2 linked regions of the Coturnix japonica genome follow. The protein of the gene in region 1 interacts with the protein of each later gene in a biochemical or structural test. Links are inferred from orthologs where the notes say so. Each region holds a gene or a part of one and is shown on either strand. Other genes may lie near its edges.

Region 1 (3,595 bases):
AATGGGGTTTGATGCATCTTTGCTGACAGGTAACACTGTTTTGTCTTCTGTGGGTAGCATGTCAAAAGGCTTGGAAGTTGGTACAGTGTCTTTTAAGTGGCAGATGCCCTTACCACCACAGTAGGTTTCCTCCTATGGGCTCCTCCAGCCTCTTACAGGATGCTGTGAGATCTGTCAAATTGACTGTTTTAATTTAAATTCCATAATACTAAAACATACAAACTTAAGCATGTTTCATTTAAAACTAATTTTTTTTCCTGGCTAAAGTCCCTTCTTAGTGTCTGAATCTTTTGTTCTTTATTTCTTGAGAATTTTTGCTAGGGACCTAAGCCTTGCTGTCAACAAGGTGAATGCCAAGACACGCGCGGTCTTTGGCAGCCAACGCTACTTTTACATGTTAAGCTGCAGCACAGTTTGTGGAATTTGTACACGTGCTCAGTGTTGAAGGAGTTGCTATGGTGCATAATCTCCTCTCAAGCAAATTTCAAAAGCAGCAGTATTTATTTGCTCCAGGTCAGAACAAATTTCCTTTAAGATACGGATGTGGTATACCTGGAATGCACTGGTTTAAACCCCAAATACCCGATTGGTTTTTCTCACAGACTTAGAGGTCTGAGTGCTGCAAATCTTTCCACTACTCATTTTACAGTACTTGCATAACGACTGTGCCATAAAGAGAAACCTGTTGAGAAGCTTTTCCTTTCCCTTTTAGGGACCAGGCGCTATGAGCTGTATAGAAGGTAACAAAGACAAGATGAATATGAGGCTGACCTGTACTCTGTGCTGGATAAAGACCCTCTAGATGCCAGTGTATCTTTATTGAGCAGAGGTAGCTGTCAGATTAAGGCAGCTGTCTGATCTAGACACAGATTGGAGGGAGTCACTTGCCATCTGAAAGTGGCAATGAGATATGTAGTTAGGTGGTGATATAAGTAGTGCAGGTGAGCGTGTGTTGTTATTTGCATAGTAACAATCTGTAATTTTCTTCCACCAAGAAACCAAGATTACCATATCATCTTTCAAACAAATAAAAGACTTTGCGTGATCAGTGTAACCTGCTTGTAGTTTTGCATCATCGTATTGCCCTGTAAGTAGTAATTGTTCAGTTTATTGTGCATTTATTCAAGATACTGGTGCAGGAGATCACAAGCAGTGGCCTGATGCCAGCAATGCTGCAGCACAGCCTCGAGCTCCAGAGCCTCCTCGCCAGAGCTGTGTCTCCGATGCACTTCCAGACAGCCCGCACCTTGATGAGCCAAACCAGCCCAGTGGAGCAACAGCCAAGAAGTGCTTTTTACAAATCACTGGCATGACCTGTGCATCGTGTGTGTCTACCATTGAAAGAAATCTGCAGAAAGAAGACGGTAATAAATTCAACATTCCAATAATGAGTTCTGAGGGACTGCTGGTTGGAAAAGGTGTTCTGTATTTGTCAGTGGAAGGGGCCATGGTAGAATATCTTGAGGTTAAATAGACTTAAACTTCTTTTTAGGGCTAATATAACTACATCACTGTTTGTGTAGTGAGTCTACACGATGGACGTAATTGTTTTGTAATAGTAAGTGCTTGGAATATGATCAACATTTCAAATTAGAATGAGAGGTAATGGCCTTAAATTGCACCAGGAGAGATTCAGGTTAGATATCAGGAAAAATGTTGTCAGAAAGAGCAGTGAGGCCCTGGCAGAGGCTGCCCAGGGAGGTGGTAGAGTCACCATCCCTGGACATATTCAAGAACTGTATGAATGTGGCACTGAGGGACATGGTTAGTGGGTATGGTGGGGATGGTTTGATGGTTGAACTAGATTATCTTAATGGTCTACTCCAACCTTAATTATTCCCTGTCTCAAATATATAATAATAAGGCTCAGGACAAGAACAGAAAAGTTGTTCTTATTTTGTTCTCAGGGCCTTGTGTCTTTACAGAGCAATCCATCACTTTCAAAGCTGTTGAGAGCTCTGATAATTGTGGTATGAAGCTTATTCTCCAGCATATGTTTGCACAAGCATGTATAAATAAATGTGTGGCTCCAATCCCTGGGTAATTATATTAGTTTAGGCACAGCAAGTCCTGCCAGGTTAGAAGTCTGCAGACTGGCCATATAGAGCATGAGCAGTCAAGCATCAACACTGCTTTAAAGCACATCAGCTCATCTTAAGTGGGTTTTGCTTATTGATTCCTGTGTCTGCGGTCTCCCAATGCATGGTCTCCATGTGCTGATACAAGTCAATTGATTCGATTGTCAATTTATATTAAAAAAAAATAATAATAAAAAAGAAAGCCCAGTGTCCTGTGGGATTTAGTTAGAGCTTGGCAAACTTAAGAAAGCCAGGGTAGAGCTTGGAGTTAGAAGTGCAGAAATTGCTCATGAACTTCCTTTCTGTCTCTGACCATAGCCTCCATGTTGCAGCTTCTCTTGTTGCTATAGGTGTATAGGTGTATAGGTATAGGAACTTTGGTATGGCTGCATCTCAGTAAAAACTTTGCTGCTCTGACCAGGGAACAACACTAGGAGGAGGCAGAAAAGAGATCACTAGACATAAAATGGCACTAAACTGCTACAGTTTCCACTGAAAATCACATGTGATATTTTATTTTTCTTCCTCACAAACTAAACTGCATTATCTAACATTCTTTATTATTGCTGCTGCAGGTATTGTTTCAGTGTTGGTAGCACTGATGGCAGGTAAAGCAGAGATAAAATACAAGCCAGAGTTCATACAGCCTCTTGAAATAGCACAGTTGATTCAGAATTTGGGTTTTGAAGCCACTGTCATAGAAGATCATTCAGAAACAGAAGGAAATGTGGAGCTTCTTGTAAGTAACGTGTATTTCAAATTGCGTGTTGGTTTTGGATATGGTGGGCTCAGAAGAAGCATTTTCTTGCAAGAGCTTTTGTTTAAGGAGACATGGCCTCAACAGATCAGTTCTGTCTGGTGACACTCATTTTGCTTAATTGCTAGAAAGAGAAAATCATTTTCTCTTAGAAGAACCTGACAAAAGCACTGAAACAAAAAGCAATAGTTATGTGTATGGAATAGACTTCTGTTAGCACGGGGAAATGAAATGGGAAATGATACATCATTGAGCATCTGATGAGAAGGTTATGGGCTTTGTATAGAGGTCTGAGAACACTGGGTGAAATTATTAAATAGTTCATAGCAGGACAGATTCTTTGAAAGTCTGTTTTTCTTCTCTTATGTTTATATACAGTAAGACAGAACACAACAGCCTGCACTTATGCAAACAGATCAGAAAGTGGGAATGTGCCATGCTGAAGCCACCAGGAGATTTGAGTTAGGATGATGATGTTGAACATGCTCACATGTGTATTGACTTTGGCAGTGTTAATAGAGCTGCTGATAGAACTATACAAACTACTCTTGCAGTAAATGCAACGTGCTAGTGCTGCTGTACAAATAAGCTGCAGTGAATAGAACTGTTTGTTGCAGAATTTTACAAGCAGATAGTTATATTTGTTTCCTGTAAGACAACTCTATAAACTTCCTGCTCAGGCCTTGGGTCAGTGCCTGCAGAGTTTGAACAGTCTCTGGTATGTTTGTAACAATACCTCAAATTCTTTAACAAATATTGG
Region 2 (4,346 bases), on another chromosome or scaffold:
CCCCATCCCCCCCCTCCAGGCCTCGGCCTACCCCGGGGATAGGGGGCAGCGCTGAGGGGGATGGAAATGGGATCGCCCCGGTGCACGCAGCCCTCCGCCATCCCCACGAGGCCGCGGCCCCGCTCCCAGCCCGGCCCTGCCCCCCTCACCTGCGGGCGGAGCGGGACGGCAGCGGGAGGCGTCGCAGGAGCACAGGCCTGCCCGGCGGACGACAAGCACCTCACGCAACGGCGTGCTCTGCCGCCGGCTACATATATCCGGCGCGCAGCCTAACCCGGCGGGAGGCTGCTCCACCAATCACACAGCGCCGCTCTCCTTCATTCGGACGCTGATTGGTTCGGAGAGGGGAAAGGAGGCGGGATGATAAATGAATGGCAGCTCACTCTATCAACCACGCGGCCTGGCTGCGCGGAGCGGGGAGATTGACAGACAGCGATCCGAACCAATAGGAGGCGAAGCTCTCGGTGCTGAGGCGGGGCTAGACCTAACGGTAGCCAATAGGACGACGCTGACCGCGAGACCAGGCGCGAAAGGCGGGGCAGGCGTGACGCCGTAGTGTGGTTGAAGCGCACAGCAGCGCCCTTGAGAAGGTGCTGGTAAACCCCGTTAGAGATGGGGGCGGGACCTATCCAATCCTATCCAATGGGAGGGCGCGACGGGCTATGATGGACAGGCAGGGCCTTAAAGGGACAGTCACCCCGCACGAGGGGCGGCATTGAGTGCCCCGTACCACCCCCTGCTGGGGGGCAGCGCTGGGACGGGCATTGGTTATCACTAAGAGCAGGCTGCGAGATCTCCAATGGGCCTCACTAGGTCGCCTCTGACCCCCTGAGCCTCATCTGAACAACACATAGTGCAGGTGTGGATGCTGAGGACAGCAGGATGGAGGAGCAGCAGGTAGCTGGCTGAGCAGGCTGTGTTTGTATCCCATCATATCTATGACATGAAGCACTATCAGATATATTGGACTGTCTCAGACTGAGTCCCTCCCCACCACCACATCCCAGCCCTGCCCACCCCCCTCCCTGTGTGCCCGGCTATTTATAGGGCTGCAGCACAATCTGCCAGCGCATCAATCACAGCTGTGGGGCTCAACGTCAGAGCAGTGACCCACAGCTCAAATAACCACTGCTGGGACCACGGCGGCATTGGGAGGAAAGGGAGCTCACGTTGTGATAGAGCAGCACAGCAGCCAGGTCCTGTGTGCAGCACAATGAATGTCTATGGGCTCTCAGTTGGCATCCCCCTGGGTGAGCAGAGCAAAGGCCTTCAGCCCTAATCCTGCTTTGCTGTGACCCATAGAGCTGCCATTCAGCCTCACCGATCAGGAAAACGGGAAGAGCAACATAACCAAGGGGCTGTTCTCAGAACAAAAACATCCTAAAACATACATCGTCCCTAAAAGGCCATTCAAACAGCTTTGCTCAGCCTTAAGACCACACCAAAAAGCCCCCAAACACCCGCAGCAAATGACTTGTCTCACTAAGAGCCGAACATTGAAGCTTCACGGGCAGCTCGTACCCTACCGAGCCTCCTCGGGCCCCGGGGGCGCTGTGCGGAGCTGAGCTCAGCGCCGCCCCTTCCTCCGAGCCGGGAACCGGGAGCCGGAGCCACGCCATGCCGGTGGGTGCGGGACGGGAGGGCGGCGGGGGGGACAGCGAAGGGCCGGGGGATGGAACCACCTTGAGCTTGTCAGAACATGAAGGAAATGCCAGTTCCGCATAGGAATGGTGATAAATGGTGATGCTGAGCGCTTTGGTTTTGCTCAGTTCCGCACTGATCCGCGCTGTGATGATAGTGGGGGGTTAAAGGTGGTTTGGAGTAAAAAGATGGAGGGGTTGAGGGTGGGAGACAGGGAGCAGCATTGATTTTCTTGTTTAAGGATATCAGGTGAAGGAGATAGGGCCTGTCCCGTACAGAAGGCTGAGCACAGTGGATAGCCTTAGGGCCACGCATGTGTGCACTGTGAGTACTGCGGGTAGTGGTCCTCAAGCTTATTTTCATGATGTTTTTATGAGTTTGGGGCATGATGATATGATATATGATAGGATAGGCATTGCAGAGCAAAGCAGCAGGCTTGCTCCTCCTGGGCTGTGCATACAATGGGTCCAGGAGAATCACAGAATCACAGAATGACCCGGGTTGGAAGGGACCTCAAGGATCATGTAGTTCCAACCCCCCTGCCTAGCAGGGCCAGGAGAACCCCCTGAGAGCTGTGCTGGCCCTGGAGGTGTCCTGATTCCAGTGCATGGTTGGAGCAGGCAGCCTCCAGAGGACCCTCCAGGTGGTGGTGAATGCTGCTGAACCCTCATCTGTCTTCTTGCAGAAACACGAGTTCTTTGTGGACATGACCTGCGAAGGCTGCTCCAATGCAGTCACCCGTGTCCTGCATAGACTGGGAGGTGAGTCGAGCTACAGGGTGTATTATGACTCTGGGGCCAGATGTCACTGCCCCAGGGTCCTCTGTTTTGAGCAGGAAGCAATGTGGGTAACAGCAGGAAGTGTCTGAGTGGAAACCTCTGCACCTTATCACTCTGCTTTGAGCTGCTGGTAGCTGATTGCTAGCAGGGCTGGCGTAACCCTTGGAGAAGAAACACGGGAAGGATAAAGTGCTGGGGATGCAGGAGGCTTCAGGCATCAGGTGGCTTTGTGCACCACCAGGGCCTCATCCTGAACCTGCCAGGAGCTGCACCCCCCTGCTCAGGATGGCTGGGAAGAAGAAGAGAAGGTGGATCTCCTGCCAGGCCACTGGTAGCTGCAGTGCTTCTCTGGATGTGTCATCAGCATCCAAATGCAGAACAGTCATGGTGAAGAGCTGCTGAGCAGAGGGTTTGGTGGTTGCTTGCACAGCCTGTTTTTTGTTCAACCTGGAAAATTATAACTTGTGTCTCCTCTGTGCTGAGAGCAGCAAGAGAGCAGGATCTGGCCTGCACTCACCAGTTATGAGGACTTTTGATCCTGCTTACCCATCCTCACCAAGTGGGAACAGCTCTCAGTCACCAAGCTGAAGGCTGTGAGAATTCTTCAGGACCCCATTGCCAGGCTGTGGTGATTCCAGTTCCTCTGTGTGTTGTTTTCAGCACCTCTGTCCTCCCATCACTCTTTGACGTGCTGGCCAAATACAGACTCATGGGATGGAGCAGTAGAGCTGCTAAAGCTATTACCTACCTTCATTATATGGTTGGGTAGAAGCTTCGTTGAGTTCTTCTCTCTGGCTTTAGAGTGGCTGACCTTTATTTACCAGTGGCATATCCACATGGAAGGTGTCTTGAGCTTCCTCCTGCTTACAGCTGCAAGGTGGTACTGCCACTGATAAAACCTGCTCTGACCCCATCTTAACCTCTATGCCATCTCCTTCATTAGTACTCATTCGTGCCAAACCTCAGCACAGAGTGAGCTGGCTGCAGATTACAGTGGTTGGTTTAAACTCTGCTAATTCTCATTAATGCTTGTGATTGTGCTAGTCTAATAAAGCTCCCATAATAAACCTATGGTGCCTAATGTACATATATAGGCAATCTGGATTCCTTTATACCAATGCTGGTGGGATCCTGCTCTGGTTGTGCTGGTCACAGAACAGAAGTTTGCTGACAAGAGGCATGTACAATTCACTTGGTGACACTGTGAGAGCACAAATGCATGAAAGTGACATTTTCCCTGCTTTTATACCATTTGATTGCTTCTAACTAAGTGTTTTTCCTTTCCTTCCAGGTGTCCAGTTTGATATTGACCTGCCCAACAAGAAGGTGTACATTGAGTCAGAGCACAATGTTGACACCCTATTGGAAACCCTAAAGAAGACTGGAAAGAGCGCATCCTACCTGGGGGAGAAGACAGTGCAGTAGCCTGCTGTGAGGAGGCTAGGTATATATTAGGTGTATGAAACACTGAAGAGATCTGAGCTTGTTCCAGCTCTCTCAGTAAACCAGTCTGTTTCATGTAAAGCACAAAGGAGGGGAGACTTGTAGGTCCAGCTTCAGCAATCCCCTCATATCAGAGAAGCACATGCAGCCAGCACCTTCTGCATGGGACTCCTTAGCTGCTCTGCAAAGCCCATAGGAACCCAACTATAGCTGTAGTATCTGCAGCCAAAAGAGAACTATGGCATCTGATAATTTGAGAAGTTTTGGCTGATACTTGTATGGTCTAATTGCATGGAGAGGTAGAACGCAGCCTCTGTGCAATTACCAGGTGAACCTGGAGTTTGCCAGAGCATATCATGAATGAAAACAAACCCCAAAGACATTAGTGAAATGACCAGGGAGAGTGACCAAAAATGCTAGGGACAGTGATGAAACGGATGGACACCTGTGAGTAGGTGCTGCAGGGGGTTGTTTGTTAGCAAA

Evidence for each region. The genes of interacting proteins can lie anywhere in the genome.
Region 2: the proteins of ATP7B (region 1) and ATOX1 form a complex in vitro, tested with the Homo sapiens proteins (3 studies listed by BioGRID and IntAct). The link is inferred for Coturnix japonica from reciprocal best matches to the Homo sapiens genes ATP7B and ATOX1.

The regions. Positions count from the first base shown.
Region 1 is NC_029516.1:152,322,842-152,326,436, reverse strand, and holds part of ATP7B (copper-transporting ATPase 2), read left to right. Parts: coding exon 1-29; intron 30-1,127; coding exon 1,128-1,364; intron 1,365-2,653; coding exon 2,654-2,817; intron 2,818-3,595. UniProt on the Homo sapiens protein: Copper ion transmembrane transporter involved in the export of copper out of the cells. It is involved in copper homeostasis in the liver, where it ensures the efflux of copper from hepatocytes into the bile in response to copper overload.
Region 2 is NC_029528.1:5,158,788-5,163,133, reverse strand, and holds the start of ATOX1 (copper transport protein ATOX1), read left to right. Parts: upstream 1-1,491; 5' UTR 1,492-1,617; coding exon 1,618-1,623; intron 1,624-2,326; coding exon 2,327-2,402; intron 2,403-3,711; coding exon 3,712-3,845; 3' UTR 3,846-3,864; intron 3,865-4,346. UniProt on the Homo sapiens protein: Binds and deliver cytosolic copper to the copper ATPase proteins. May be important in cellular antioxidant defense.